Linked DNA regions of Rhinolophus ferrumequinum. The protein of the gene in region 2 interacts with the protein of the main gene of each other region in a pairwise test. Links are inferred from orthologs where the notes say so. Each region holds a gene or a part of one and is shown on either strand. Other genes may lie near its edges. The genes, in order: BTBD2 and TOP1.

Evidence for each region.
Region 1: the proteins of TOP1 (region 2) and BTBD2 interact in a two-hybrid assay, tested with the Homo sapiens proteins (2 studies listed by BioGRID). The link is inferred for Rhinolophus ferrumequinum from reciprocal best matches to the Homo sapiens genes TOP1 and BTBD2.

Annotation. Positions count from the first base shown.
Region 1 is NC_046301.1:61,200,067-61,207,591, reverse strand, and holds the start of BTBD2 (BTB/POZ domain-containing protein 2), read right to left. Parts: upstream 3,089-7,525; 5' UTR 3,080-3,088; coding exon 2,706-3,079; intron 1-2,705.
Region 2 is NC_046306.1:15,753,870-15,762,072, forward strand, and holds the start of TOP1 (DNA topoisomerase 1), read right to left. Parts: upstream 3,176-8,203; 5' UTR 2,907-3,175; coding exon 2,874-2,906; intron 2,577-2,873; coding exon 2,552-2,576; intron 1-2,551. UniProt on the Homo sapiens protein: Releases the supercoiling and torsional tension of DNA introduced during the DNA replication and transcription by transiently cleaving and rejoining one strand of the DNA duplex.

The DNA.
Region 1 (7,525 bases), on a different chromosome or scaffold from region 2:
CTCGCACATGTTCAATCATTACTCTCCATCGCGCGTGGCCTCTGGGACATTAACTCTGCATTGGCTTATGTCCCCATCTTTATCTAAGCTCCTGGTCCTCTGGAGGAGCCCTGAGTCATGGAGTCGATCTTCCCAGCAGCCCCAGGACTGAGGCGTCTGAGTGGTATGTCCCAGTCCACAGGCAGGGAAACTGAGACACAGCAAACCCAGGGTCACTCACTGGACAGTCATCCACCTGACCATTACAGGTAAATTTTTCACAATTCATATGAAATTATAACCCAAAGGCTAAAAATAAAAAGAATTTGAACCTTCTATTGGGGGATCCAGAGTAGGGCATCAACACCAGGGAAATGGGACAAGAAAAGTGCCATCAGCCTGGCCCCAGACACTCTCTGGACATTAAGCACACAGGGAGACAACTGATGGGTGCAGGGACCTGCGAGGTGTGCTAAGGGAACCAGGCAGAGCGCCATCAGGGGACATGGGACTCATGAAGCTACAAGCACAAGAAAGTGACAGGTCCAGAGGTGGGCCAGTCTGATGGTGAACGTTGGGGTGCAGGCACGCACCCCCACACCCAGAAGAGCCTGCACCCCATACCCCATTTCGGGGTGGCTCCTTGCTGCCATTCCTAAGCGCCCTTTTGTCCACACGCTGCCCCCAGGCTACCCCACACACTCCCACCAGTACGGACCCCTGCATGCTGCCGACCCGTCACACGTCCCTCTGGTCATACTGTTTCCAGCCATCTCTCTGGGGTGTCTCAGCCCCCCCCACACAACATGTACTTCCATGCCTGTCCTCCCCTGGGATGCTCAAGCCAGGAGTCCAGGAACTTCCGCCTGGTCCCATTTTCCCTCACCTGCCAAGCTACCTCCTCACATCACAGAGAAGTACCATCCCCAGAGAAGCTGAACCCTCTGCTTCCCAATTCTGCTGCCCCCACTAAGCCCATCATCTCCCGTAATGTCTGTGGCCCATTCCAGCCTTCAAAGCACAAGAGGTCACTGTGGCCCACAGGGCCCTTTGCTCCCTCTGCTCTGGCCTTGCTGTGGCTCCCACTTGCCCACCCCTCTGCTCTCCAGGCCTCACATCCCTGCACTCCCCTCCCCTTCCCCTGCTCTGCTCAGCGCCACTTGCTCAGAGGTGCCACTTGCTCAGAGGTGTCCGTCTGGAGCAGGTCAGCCCTGTCATTACCCGGGGCCCTGTCTCCCTCCTGCACTCAGAAATTCTCACTAAATGTCACACGCATCCTTCCTCACTTAACCTCCACCTCTCACCAGAGCCAGGCCCCTCTTCTGCTTCTTTCCGGGGGTGCTCTCATCCACCTTTCTTATCCCCACTTTGCCACCAGCCAATGGACCTTGAAGCATGATGGAGTATGTATCTCAAGGTCAGCCGGCATCCAGGGAGGCCCCCACCAACTCCCTTGCTCCCCTCAAGTAGAAACCCTGACGTTCCCTCACTGGGTGGGGTTTCCAGTCGTATCCACCTGCCCGGTGAGGGCTCCAGTCAGGGGTCGGGTGGGCAGGAGAGCCCACACTGGACTGAGCAGCGTTTGAGAACGGGAGGGGTGAGGGAGGCCGATGGTTCAGGAGGGACTGGTAGGTGGCAAACGGACCAGCCCCCTACTCCAAGCTTAGGAAGGTGGCCCCCATGGGTGACAGGGGACAGGGCTGCACACACACCGGGGAAGGAGGAGTCAGGGGAGGTCCTGGGGACCCAACCACAGGCCTGGAACCTTCTGCGGAAAGGAAGCCAGACGCAATTGTACATAAATAACCAAGAAAAAGCCACAAAGACTGTCAAAAGACACAGGTTAAAGGCCACAGGCCAGAGAGGCGGGAGGACCCTCACAGCAGGTTGGGGGACACTCCAAGCAGAGCCAAGAACCCCCCCCTCCCCTTCCAGGGTGGAGCCCTCAGCGAGCCTTCCCCACCAAGGTCCCTGGGGTGCAACGGGGAGCAGGGTCACGGAGTGGGCAGGCCAGTGTCTGACAACAGCTCACCCAGCCCAGGAGTCTGGGGCTGCACCCTAGAAACTGGCAGAGGGATGGGGCCTGGAGCAACAGTGCCCGAAGAGGAAGCCTGGGGGTTAGGGGGTGAAGGGACTGGGGAGTGTCAAGGACTGGGGGAGGGGCAGGAGGGTGAGAAGGTTGGAGGAGGGTCAGTGGGCTGCGGGTTCAGGGGGCTGGGGAGTCAGGGGGCTGGGGAGTCAGGGGGCTGGGGGCTATGTGGTTCGGGAGTCTGGGGAGTCCTGGGTTTGCGAGGCAGGAGTCTGGTGGGGATGTAGGGGTCATGCAGGCCTGGAGAGCACGGGTTACTTAGTGGAGGGGGTCAATGGGGCAGGATGGCAGGGCCCAGGGTGGAGAAAACTGGTGGGGTTCGCAGGGCCTGGAGATTCTGGCAAGAGTGGCAGGGTGGAGGGTGTCCGATGGCGGTGGACGGGCGGGGGTCCAGGGGCCAGGGAATGGCTAGTATCTGGGGGCTGCGGGATGGATGGGGCTCCAGCAGGACCACAGGGCCCGGAGATAATGGGGCCTGGGGAAGGGGGTGCCCTGGGATACTGGAGGGTCCGAGGGCTGCGGATAACGGGGATGGCGGGTACCAGGATGGCGGGGTCCCAGGGAAGGGGGTCCAGGGATGGCGGGCCCGGGGGATGGGGTCCCGGAGCCCGGGGGCCCGGGAGCGGGCGCGGCCCACCTGTGCGCCGGGATGCGCTGCGCGCCGAGCCCCTTGCCCACCAGGAAGTGCACGTCGCACAGCACCTCGTTGTTGAAGAGGAAGGCGAAGCGCTCCTGCACCGTGGGCTTGGTGGCCTGCCAGTTGTACACGGGCTCGCGCAGCAGCGCCGCCGCCCCCGGCTCCTCGGCCGCCCGCTCCCCTCCCGGTGCGGCCTGTGCGCCCGGCCCTGAGCCCGGAGAGGACGTCCCGGGGGCGGCGGGGACCGGGCCGGCGGCCGCAGCCGCGTTGCCGGGGGCGGGGGCGGCGTTGGCACTGGGACCCGGGCCGCCCCCCGCGCCCGCACCGACCGCCGGCGGGCACGATGCGCGGCCGCCGCTCCCACCCGCCGCCATCTTGTCGGTGCGGCGCCGCGGGGCGGGCGGGGCTGGCGGAGCGGGCGGGGCTGACAGGGAGGGAAGGGGAGGGGCGAGGGAGGAGGGAGGGGCGAGAGGAAGGGCATGGGGAGAAAAGGGAGGGGGTCACGGAGGACGAGGAGCGGGGACAGGGGAGGGGAACGGGGAGGACGGAAGTAGGGGCTGCGGGGCAGGAGAGGAGAGAGGGAGGGAGGATGGAAGAAGGGACGAGGGAAAGGGCGCGGCGCAGACCATAGACCGCGGGCCCCAGATCACAGACCTCAGACGTCAGACCTAGGACCCAACATGCTAGATCTCCTACTTCAGACCGCGGACTTTAGAGACTCCAAACCTCGGATCCCGAATCCTGGACCCCAGGTCCGGGACCTCAGACCTTGGACCCCAGATCCTAAATCCTCAGACGCAGGCCCCAGACATCAGATCCCAGATCCCAGACCCGGTACTTCAGACCTAGGCTCCAGACACTGGACCTTAGATCCCGGATCACCAGACCCAGATCCTAGATCCTCAGACCCAGGGGCCCCAAACCTCAGATCCCAGTCTTCACCCCAGCCTCCATAACCCAGACATCAGATCCTACATTCCAGACCTCAGGCCTCAGAGCCCAGGCTCCAGATTCCAAACTCCAGACACCAGATTCCGGACTTCACACATTAGACCCCAACCCCAAACACTGAACCCAGTTCCCTGGACCCCACAGCCCAATCTCTGACCCAGATCCCCAAATCCCAAATCCAGACCCTACCCCAGACCTTGAGTCCTGGGCCTTGGACCCCAGAGTCCAAACCCCACACCTGGGATCCTGGACCCCAGCCCTTAGCCTCCAGCCCTGATGGTCTCCATGCCCAGTGGAGGAGACCCCACTGTACAGAGGGGTCAAACTGAGGCCCCGGGAAGTTGTGGCTGAATGCGTCGGGATGCTCTTTTCATCCAAGACTCAACAGGTATACAGGGCAGAGCTTGGGGCCACGTCCAGGACACAGCCCTGCGGATCCTGGTTCAACTCTTTCCAGCCGGTCACACAATAGGTGCATGAAAAATAAAGGCAGGAACTTGGAAATGCCAGAGAAACACAGGAAAGCAAATTAATATCGTATGTCATCCTGCTATCCATAAACAGCTAGTGTTAACACTTCAGTGTATTCTTTGTCTCTTTTGTGTGTGTGTGTGTGTGTGTGTGTGTTTTGTTTTGTTTTGCTTCATGTTTTACAGAGTAGAGTCTTTTCATATAGTTGGGATCACTTGAATATGTATCATTTGGTAAAAGGATATCAGCCTTTTTATGTGGCTAATGCTGAAAAATGGTTCATCCGAATAAAATCATGGGTGGATATAATACTAGTGACTCGATAAAGAATGAACATCCTGGGGTGGCTGGCTGGCTCAGTTGGTTAGAGCACAGTGCTCATAACACCCAGTTCGCCGGTTCGATTCCCACATGGGCCAATGAGCTGCACCCTCCACAACTAGATTGAAAAAAGAAAAAAAAACTTGACTTGGAGCTGATGGGTCCTGGAAAAACACACTGTTCCCCCAATATTCCCCAATTAAAAAAAAAGAGAGAGAAAATGAACATCCCGATTCTTGCCTTTTGAGGATAATGGATTCACGGCCTTCAGACTCTGGTCGTTTTAATTCCCTGTAATCATTATCGCTGAAGGATACCTTTAGCTGGGCTTCTGCTTATTTCCACAACCCCTGGGACTTGGAGAAGCATCCTTGCCTGCTGATGAGAGATTCTATCCCATGTTGTACCTTCTTTGCCCTGAAACATAAAACCACCTATTCTCCAAAGAGCCCTCATTCCTTGGGGTGGGGGAAAGTACTGATGACCACGTTTTGGATATTGGACATAATATTGCACATAAATTTTTGGTGGAAAACTGATTAAAGTCTACTTCAGTGGTCTGATAGAAATGGGAAGTTTTAGAGATTGCGAGTTCATAGTGTTGTTTCCAGTTCATCTCTAACACTACTCCTTAACAGGTGTCCTCAGTAACTATGCCTGACCCGGCCCACCACCTGTTGATTTAAAGAAAGTTTTATTGACATGCAGCTATGCCCATTTATTTGCATGTTGTCTACGCTGCTTTCCAGCTTCTGAGGCAAATCTGAGTAGTTGCTTCAGAGATGATATGGCGGTCAAAACCAAAAAATTTACTCTGTGGCCCTATACAGAAAAGGTTTGCAGGGTAAGTTATTTTACCATTTTCTTTCATCATCTGGTGAACCACATTAAGTTTCTGAAGATCCTGGCTATAACTTGTGTAATTTCTCATTCGTTTTATCTGTCAACATAAAATTTAAGTCCAGACCATAATAGTCATATAAACAGTATCTAAAATAACTACTAGTTGGAAAATAAGATCTAAGATGCAGCTCTCGCGGCATCAATGATGGCCCAGCTGCTGGGTTCAGACCAGGCATGTGACCAATCCTGGCCAATGAGGTGAGAGGACAAGTCTGCAGGATGGGGGATTCCAGGACAGGTTTCTGCAGAACGATCCCCTGAATGGCAGAGTAGGGAAAGGGAAGGGATCTGGGTCTGGAATGACATTGATTGTCTTGATCATCCTGAGCCTAGAGGCTGCCATGGCTTGGGGCTGTTTGGTCTCTGAGCTAATAAACATCTTTATGGAGTTAAGCAAGTAGAGTCAGGTTTTCTTTTACTCATGGCTAAAGGCATGTAATTGATGCAATTGGCCCTGGTGGCCACCTTTGAACACCTCTTGCTAACAACAGACACGGAAGTGACTGAGTGCTCACCTCCCTTATAATAAGCTCTGAGGTTGTATGATTATGTATATAAACAGTTGCCTGGTGAGTAGTTTCAGTTATCTATGAGCACAGAGCAAAACCACCTACAGATTTAGACGCTTCACTCTAAGAGCAGGCAGGGAGGGTCTGACTGGGAAGGGACAGGAGAGAACTTTCTGGAGGTGTGTATTAGTTTCCTACAGCTGTTGTAACAAATTTTCACAAATGTAGAGGCTTAAAACAGCATAGATGTATTATTGCACTGTTTTGGATGTCAGGAGTCTGAAATGGGTCTCATTGGGCTAAAACCCAGGTGTGGGCAGGGCTGGTGCCTTCTGGAGGCTCCAGCAAGAACCATTTCCTGCCTTTTCCACCTTCTAGAGGTGGCTGCTTTCCTTGGTTTGATTTCTGCTTCCATGGTCACATCTTTTTCTCTGACTGACCCTCCTGCCTCCCTCTTACAAGGACCCTTGTGATGACACTGGGCCCCCTGGGGAATCCAGGATAATTCCCCCATCTCAGTATGCTTAACTTCATCCCATATGCAAAGCCCCTTTGCCATATAATGTAACATATTCACAGCTTCTGGGGACTAGGGCGTGGACATCTTTGGGGGCCATTATCCTGCCCACCACAGTGTATGGACAATCATCTTTATGATTCTATGCGTAGGTTGGCTGGGCATTTCCTCTGTTGCTCTTACCTAGAGTAACCTATGAGACCACAGACACCTGGAGGGTTAAGTGGGCTGGGCTGAAAGGTCCAAGGTGGCCTCACTGGCATATTGGGCAATGGATGCTGGCTGTGGGCTGGGAGATCTCAGTTCTCCATGGAGCCTCCCAGCCTCCAAGAACCTACACTGGCTTCCTTACATCATGGCAGGAGAACTCCCACATCTCACTTCTGCTACATTCTATAAGTCAAAGCAAGTCACATGGCCATGCCTAGATTCACAGTGGTGGAGAGACAGACTCCCCCTCTGGATGGGAGGAGCCTCAAAGTCCTATTGCAAAGAGGCACAATATTAGAATGGGAGAAATTTGTGGTCTCTGCACAACCCACCCTACTCCTTTGATTCCGTTGTTTAAGTTTACGGTCACTGTTGGTGTGCTTTCTCCTGACACATCTCACTGGGTAGCTTTCAACTATCAGTTCTTACTTGGTAATGGAGGATCGGGGAAGTCAGCTCTAAGCAGTTCACTGTATGAGACCAGGGAAAACAATGGAAGCCATTCAATGTCTGGAGATTTTATGAACAGACCCAGCAGTCCCAGAAGCCACCCACCCACAGTGGAATTTGTACATGGTGGCAAGTTGAGATCAAAATGCACACAGCCTGCTTGGGCCCCACCGGGTTGCATCACAACTCATTCTGAAGTTGGAGGGCTTCCAGGCTCGAAGGCTGGTGAAGCAGGTGATATGCCCAAGAGTTTGGAACTCTTCATGAAATTATTGATTCAGGCAAAGTTACTGATGGTGTTGAGACCCTGAGATGTACCACTGATGGGGAACAGAACCATCACACGTGCTGGATTCTCTTCACACACAATACTGCTATCAGGACTTCTCAAACAGCTACAGTCATTTAGAAAGGGGCTAAAGTACAGACGAATAGATAGATCAGGAGCCCAAGACAGACCATATTCACATCTAGAGGGTTGATTTACA
Region 2 (8,203 bases):
AGGTCTAATGCGTCTTTTGGAGCAAAAATTAATACAATACTTGGTCTTATATTACATAAGACCCAGTCTTATATTATAGTAAAACAATACAGTAAAAAAAACTGGGTCTTATATTAATTTTTGCTCCAAAAGATGCATTAGAGCTGATGGTCTGGCTAAGTCTTATTTTCGGGGAAACACGGTAGCACAGTAGCTAAGCTTGTGAGCTTTGGAGTGCCCCACTCACTGCCTTTGGGCAAGCTAGTAAATACGCCTAAGCCTCAGTTTCCTCATCTATAAAATAGAGATAATAGTACCTAAAACTCAGAAGAATCCTTCTGAGGGTTAAATTAAATTAGATGGTCCATGGAAAGAGCTAGGATTTGTGCCTGGCAGACAGGATTCAATAAATATTAGCAATTATTGCTATTCCACGTGAACAAACACATTCTAAAAGTCAATATAGCCAGTTTACTTCAGTCTATTAAAAACAGCACTAAAGAGCAATAACCTATCCAGCCCACAACCATTCAAATATTCAATAGTTTCTTTGTGTAATTGAGATGAAAACCATGAATGGAGGTTAACTTGCTGAGAATGGCCTAAACTTTGTTTCATTACTAAATACATTGCCTACTCAGCCCAGTCTTCAAGTCAAAAGAACACTTCTTTTCTGTATTAAGATCCTACCTTCCTTCAAGAGAGATCAAAAGGACTTCTTACATCCTCACCTGCCACATCCTCTCTTTGCTTCCACATCCCAGGCAAACATATTTATACTCTTCGCAGTTTTCTTACTGCAGGAGCCTCATCTCCCTCTCTTAAAATCCTGACAGGTTGGCTAAACATAGTTAAGAAATACTCCAATCCCTGACACTTAGCACCTATTCTTGCATAACACCCAGCTCAGAAGTCACCTCCTGAGAAATTTCCCCACCCCCCAGACAAAATTAAAGTCCCCTAGTCTCCCAAAGCATTTTGGGTATACATATGCCCCGGCACCTACCTTATAATTAACTAATTATATCTCCCCCAGTAGACTGGATTGAAGGCAAGAGCAGCACTGTGGCCGAAGGTTTGCTCTAGCACTAAACATGTGTTTGGCACATATTAGGTGCTCAAGAAATGCTACACTTTTCTTTAACCAGATTCCCTCCTCACAGAGTACCATCTCATGCTGGATGCCCCACTTCAAAATCTGAACATCAGGCTGCTCCTTCAGTAGAGCAGGCTAACATGATATACTGCTGATTACAACATGAAAACCTACTCATCAGCTTCTCCCACTGGAGAGGTTCCCAGAACCCAAACTCAACTGAGTAGGATTATGTACCATCAGAATCAGTGGGAATTCCCAGCACACTACAGAGGGTACCTTCTCCTTCACCCAGGTTACTGAAAAGCCTGCAGAGTGAGCTTTTTATTGGAGGAATTTTTGCTGGGTAACTGAAGTGGAAACATTCAGAGAATAAACGCCTTGATTTGGCTGAAACGGGTTCAAAAGCATAAAGATCTGGGAAAAGCTAGCTCTTGATTCCTGAAAAACAGCGGCTTCTGAAAAAGAATGAACAGGAAGTAGGGGAGGGTGCCGGCCACTCTTTGTTTTAATAAATAAAATCCTTTTTTCCTTCCCCACAGCCCAAAAGAAAGGGCCAATGCACCAGGTCCAGATGAGATGCTCAGCAACCTTTCCTCCTGACAAGTACACTACACGGGGTTCTAATAAAACATTGTCTTAGGAACCTCAGCCACATTGAAAAGTTCTAGTCAGTAACACTATAATTTTTTTTTTGTAATTAATATGCCCGAGTCCAAGATTTACATTGGATGGCCCACAGAGAACTTGCAAACTTTTTGAAGGGAGGTACTACTACCTATGCAAAGAACACAACTTAGGAAAAACAATCTCAAAATATGAAGAGCTCAACAAAGGGTGGCTTTAGTTTTAGAGCTATAATTCCTATCACCCACATCTTACTTTAAAAAAAAAAAATCAACAGCTGCCAAAGGGTAGCTTTCATTCTGGAAGCAGAAAAGGAAACAAGAAGCAGAAAGGGAATAACCCCCAAAATAAAGTTCTCTTTGGAAAAAAATAGTAACAATTCAGTCTCCCACCCTTGCCTCTCTGGTGAGGTCTGTGATTTACATGGCTTTGCTCTGCAGAAAGCTCTTTCTGGGCAGCTCAAGGAAGGAGCCGAGGGAGGGAGAGAAAGAGACACAGGCACAGAAAGGAGAGGAGAGAGAAAAAGAAAATGGCGCAGAGACTAAGTCCCGACTGTCGACAAGGCGACTTTCCCGGGAGAAATCCGGGCCGGGAAAGGCTGCCCGAGGCCCGGTGGCAAGCGACATAGGGTCTCCGTTGCCCCCTCTCGGGAGAGCCGCGATCTGGGGGGGCTGGGATCCCCGGAAAGGGGGTCCAGAGGCCGCCCGATGGGAACAATGGGGCCGGTGAGCGAGGAGCCGGGACTTAGTCTCTGGGACGCCATGTCTGTCCTCTGCCCGGCTCCGGCCGGGCGCGGGGTAGGCGGCCGGCAGCTGGGGGACCCGGGGTCAGAGCGGAGGGCACACTCACCATTCAATCGGAAATCCGCTTCGATCTGGAGAGAGAAAAAGAAGGAATATGAAACAACAGGCATATTAACCCCGCCGGCGGCGAGCGCGCGCGGCCGGCGGCCTAGCCCACGGTGCGCCCCCAGGGATGAAGGGGGCCCCGGGAACGGCCCGAAGAGGCAGCCATCCCCCCCAAACTGTAACTTCGGGGCTTTCGCCCGGGGCCTAGCAAGCTGATCTCCTCTGGCCGGCCGCCCCTGGCCGGGGGCTCCGGCCTGTCAAGGCGGCAGGGCCGTGGCCGGGGTCGCGGAGGGCCAAGGCGGGGCCAGGAGGTCGGGTTGTACCTGGGAATCGTTGTGGAGATGGTCCCCACTCATGTCTGCCGGAGCGCCGAGCGAGGCGGGCGGCAAGGGGCGCCGAGGAGACGCAGACCGTCGGGACCGGCCTGTGCGGGGGGACGGGAGCTCTCGGGGGCTCCCGGGAACGCGGGTGAGCGGCGGCGGCGGCGGCGAGTCTGACACTCCCGGAACCGCAGAGGCAGCGACAGCGGCGGCGACGCTTACTGACTGCCAGGCGGGCGGCGAGAGCAGACCCCAGCAGTTGTGTAACAGCCTAAGTTCGCATTTCGGCTCACTGCGCCTGCGCCGCCGGTTTTAAACGGGACGTCGGCGACGTCAGAGCCTCCCAGAAAGAAGCCGAGGGTTGCGGGGCCCGCCCCCTCGCGTTTCCAAAGGCGGACCTGGCTTTGCATCGAAAGCCCCGCCCCCAGCCCACGCGCGACGCTAGGATTTGCATAGGGAGCTGACTCCTCCCAAGGCCGCCTACCCCGAGCATCCTCCCCTTCCTCTCCCCGCTCCTTTTCTCGGAACCCAGGTCGCCTCTGCTACGCAGAACGCAGGCGCAGTCTGGACACCGCCTCCGAACCCGGGCTGGTAGCGCGGCCACGTGGTGGGCCTTTAAAGGCGGCGGCGGGACCAGGCCCAGGCGGAGCTGGTGTTCTGCTCCTGCGTCTCCCGGGATCTGCCGCTACCTTGGCGGCCGAGGCCCCAGAGCTCTCACCAGCGATTCCTCGCTCGCCAACCAAACCCCGAAACCGCTTTGCCGGAGGGGAGCCTCCGCCCCAGCCTTTGTCCAGGCCTTCCAACTTCTGTCTTATTTCCTGCCCATTTCCTAAAATTTATTTGCATTTTACAACTAACCCAAGGTCTGGTTCAGCTCTAGTTTTCGGCTGGGTATATGTAACCCTGGGTCACCTCCAGAGGCCTAATTTCACTCGTTCCTTCTACATTGAGCATCTGATGTGAGCCAGGAACGGTGCTGAGAAAGGGGGAGGAGGCGCAAGGGGCCAAAGGGAACCAGACCTCGGGGTAAACACGACTTGGCTCTGTCTACCGCTGGATCACTAACATGCTGTGGGGCAAAGGGGAACAGAACTGCCGTGTATGGAACATCTGTGCTGAACATACTCCAGTCAGAATATTCACACTCGCTCTGTGAGGTCACCTATTTTACTAAAGATAAACTGTGTCAGAGATAAGTGACCTACAACCACCTACCTGACATCTACACTTGGATACCTCTCAAGCTTCTCCAGGGCTGAACTCACCATCTTCCTCCTCCTCCGCCCAGCTAGAAAAGCTCCACCCTGGACAGCTTCCGCTCCCTCATTTCTCATTAGTCCAGCTGATTGCACCTTTTCAACCTGTCTACCTTTCTCCCCTGCCCACACACCTGTCCAAGTAGGCATTATTTCTTGCTTAGATTATTAAAATATACTCCTCACAGGGGTGCCTGCTTCTGTTCTGGCCCTCTCACAAACTGCTGGCCAACAGTACCCAAAGTGATCTTTTCAACACACAGATCTAACCATTATACCTTCCCACAATACTTCCCGTCACTTAGCATAAAGTTCAAAATTCTTACAGCGGCCACCAAGGCCCAGCATAACATGCTTAATTCAAGTGTGACTGTTGTGAATTTTGCCATATCTATTACCACTTCCACTGGTATTGTTACTTATTTGAATCACTCTCCTTCTTCATCCTAAATAATAATATCTATGAAAGAATGTCTATGAAATCATTTACAAATAAATACAGAAAGTGTTCATCCATGGACCATCGAAATCATTTCTATCACATCTAGTAGTAAACACTTTGGGGTTAATCTTTGTGAATACTTCAAAATTCAACCTTAATATCACTTTCTCAAAGGGACACCCCCCTACACCCAGCTAAAGTGCCCCTCATGGAGTGTCCTTTGCCTTTGTAACATTTATTACAATTTATTAATGGGGGTGATTAGTGATTTTTGTGTCTGCCTCCCTTACTGAAGGGTGGGGATCTTGCTTAGTTAGCACTTGATCCTCAGCACTCAGCAACAGAGCCTACAGAAGAGATGTGCGATCAGCAAGTGAAGGAAAAAAGAGAACAGAAGGCCCTGATGGAGTTCAGGGTCCTGGTGGCTAGGTAGTATCCCCTGAAGCCTTATTTCACTCCTGTTCCTGTGCCTTTAAATAAATCCCCCACTTTGCTTAATGGAGTTCTGATGTGTCGCTTAAGACCAAGAGCGCTAAATGACACTCAATTCTAAGTTACACTTGATTCCCGGGCAGTCTCAAGGCTTCTATTACTCCTGTGGCCCTGCCCCGTCTCTCATGTTATGACACCTGGACGCCCCTCCTGGCATTTAGACCCTGGATACTGGCACAGTCTCTGCTTTGCCAGTTTGGGGGCAGCAGTGTCTTCTGGTGGTTCTCCCTTCCTGTGGTACCTTGCCTAAGGACCTGCCGCTCTTTTGAGATTTGGACACCCTCAGAAAAGAACCTGTTTGACACCCCAGAAAGGGGAATCAGGCTGGCAACCCCAGTAACAACCAGAAACACCCTTTGCCTGCTGGTAATTAAACAGCTGAGCAAAGGTTGAGATCTGTAAAATGAAAAGAAGAGAACCAGCAGGAAAGCTGGCGACCCTTGAGTCATGGAATAAGAGCACAGGCAACAAGGATGTAGGAGCCTGGCCATGTGGCCTGGGGCAAGGAGGGGAGTCCACTTTCATGTACTTCTGTCTTCCTTTCAGAAGACATCCTTTCTGTGATGAGGACGTTTATTTATTCCACCCGTATCCCCTGAGGAATGAGGGAGTGGGAACTATTGTGGTTGATAGGTGCTATCTACCCTGTGGATACAGATTTTAATAAGACCTAATCATCATTTTAGAGGAGCTCCTAGTCTGATAACAACACAGACATTCCCCAACTGCTACCATAAGGTACAAGGAATAACAGGGAAGAGGTGGCCAGCTACCAGTTGCTATGGTAACACTGGGATGGAGGAGGCACATCCAACTCACCAGTGGTGGTGGCGGGGGCAATATTAGCAAAGGCTTCTAGTTCGATGCTATTCTGGAAAGAATGGCCTGTGGAAAGAAAAGCAAGACACTGCAAGAAGAAGAGTAACCGATGCAAAGGCCGAGTCACGGGCGTGAATAGCTTTGGTCAGGATAGAGCAGAGGGAACTGTGAGGATACACCAGAGAAGGAGAGCAGCTGCTGCAGGGTGAGCTCTGCCAGGGTTTCGAGCAGGTCTGAGGACAACCATGGGCAGCAGAGCTCACACTGGAGACGGGCAGATTCGTCAGGAAGCCCATGGAGACCATTACAGGTATTACAGAAGCATCACTAACCATGGAATTACTGTGCAGATGCAGACTGTCAAGGGGACAGAGGATATTGTCCGGTGTCCAGGGTACAGCCCAAGGACAAGTTATGACAGCAGCTCTCTCTGAATCTCCCTTTCACAGGGTATGCTGCTAGCATGTCCTGCTGCTACTCAGATCCAGCTGCCTTCACCTCGAGAACCAGTGGGCAGGGGAAGCAAAGAAGCAGGAATTGAGACTCCAAGAAATACTGGAAAATTCTGGGAGTGAGAGAAACCCCAAGCTGACTCAGCATGACTCCCTAAGAAAATGGAACAGAAGTCACAGACTCACTTAATAACCAGCAGGTGACAGATTAGCCAAGTTCAGGTTTTGAAAAGATCTACCTCCTTGTATCCCCAACAAGCCCTCTGAGGCCTTAATCCCGTCCTCTTCACCTCCCCGGAGCCAGGCTTACGCCAGCCTCTTCTCTTCCTCCTGCATAGCAACTTCAGCACTCGCTCCCTCTCCCAATGTCCCCCCTTGACCTTATTAAAAATAACACTTCACATTAATTGATTACCTACCACGAGCTCTGCCTTGTCCTAAGTGCTTCACCTACAGTATTTCACAATAACCATATGAAGCAGGTACTACTAGTTCCACCATTTTACAGACCAGAAAACTGAGATGTAAGAAGACTAAGTTAACTTGCCCAAAGTCACACAGCTATTGAGTGTTGGGGCTATGATTTGAACCCAAGCAGTTTGACTGTGGAGCCCGGTCTCTGAATGTCTGTGCTGCCTCCCAAATTGTCCTTCAGCCAGTTTCCCTCACCTTCTTTGAAATATTTGGAAAGGATAGTCACATGTGCTGCCTTTCCTGTCTAATGTGCTATCTTTTGATCACAGTTGATGTAGCTTCCATTCTTCTTCTTATTTTTTTATTGAGGAATATTGGGGAAGCGTGTTTTTCCAAGACCCATCAGCTCCATGTCAAGTCATTTATTTGTTGCTTTTTTCAATCTAGTTGTGGGGGCCGCAGCTCAGCTCCAAGTCAAGTTGTTGTTTTCAGTCTAATTGTGGAGGGCACAGCTCACTGGTCCATGTGGGAATCGAATCGGCAACCTTGGTGTTATGAGCACCGCGCTCCAACCGTTGAGCCAACTGGCCACCTGTGACTTCCAGGCTAATCAGAGACTGCCCAGTTTCCAAATAGAGTAGCCTTATTCTCCTCCACCTTTCTGCAGCACTTAGTGATGTGGATAGGGGCATTCCTTGGGTCCTTTTCATTTGACTCCAATGACCACGAATTCTCTTGGTTTTCCTCCTACCTCTGCAAAAGCCATTTTTTCTGCCTCCTCCTCTTCTTCCGGCACAATGTAAGCATTCCCAAAGCTTATCTCATCCACCTTCTCTCTCTACACCCTCCTCTTGGAAGCTTTATGGATTCTCTATTGACTTCTGTAGATACAGCCTCTCAAATGGATGTCTCTAGCCTTGACTTCTTTTTGGAGACACAGAAATATCTACCCCTCTGCCCAATGCGTAGGTCTACTTGATGGCCCTCACATTCCTCTGCTCCTGAGTTCAAGTTTGTCCTTGAACCTACCTTTCCCTTCTACCATCTTTGCTTGGTGAATAGATCTACCCGCTCCCAGTCACACTGGCTCAAAGCCTTGGAGCCTCTTGAGTTGCTCCTGTCCTCCGTATCCCTGTCATGGCTGCTACCTCTGAGAGTCTGTGTCCTTCCCCAAGGTTCTCATTGCATCTGCCCCTTCAATGGCTTCTCTACATCACACATACACACACACACACACCATGGGCCAAGTACTATGCCTTGTGCTAGGGATTCAACAGAGAATTAGACAAAGTCCCTGCCTTCAAGGGCCTGACAGGTGGGACAGACATGAGAACAAGGAATCGCCACTTACTATGACAAGTGCTTTGGGATAAAGGATAGCATGTTTGCTCTAGCATCCCTTCAGAGGAGCTGCCATCCCAGAATTGAGAAGCCTGACAAGGCTACCAAATGGAAATA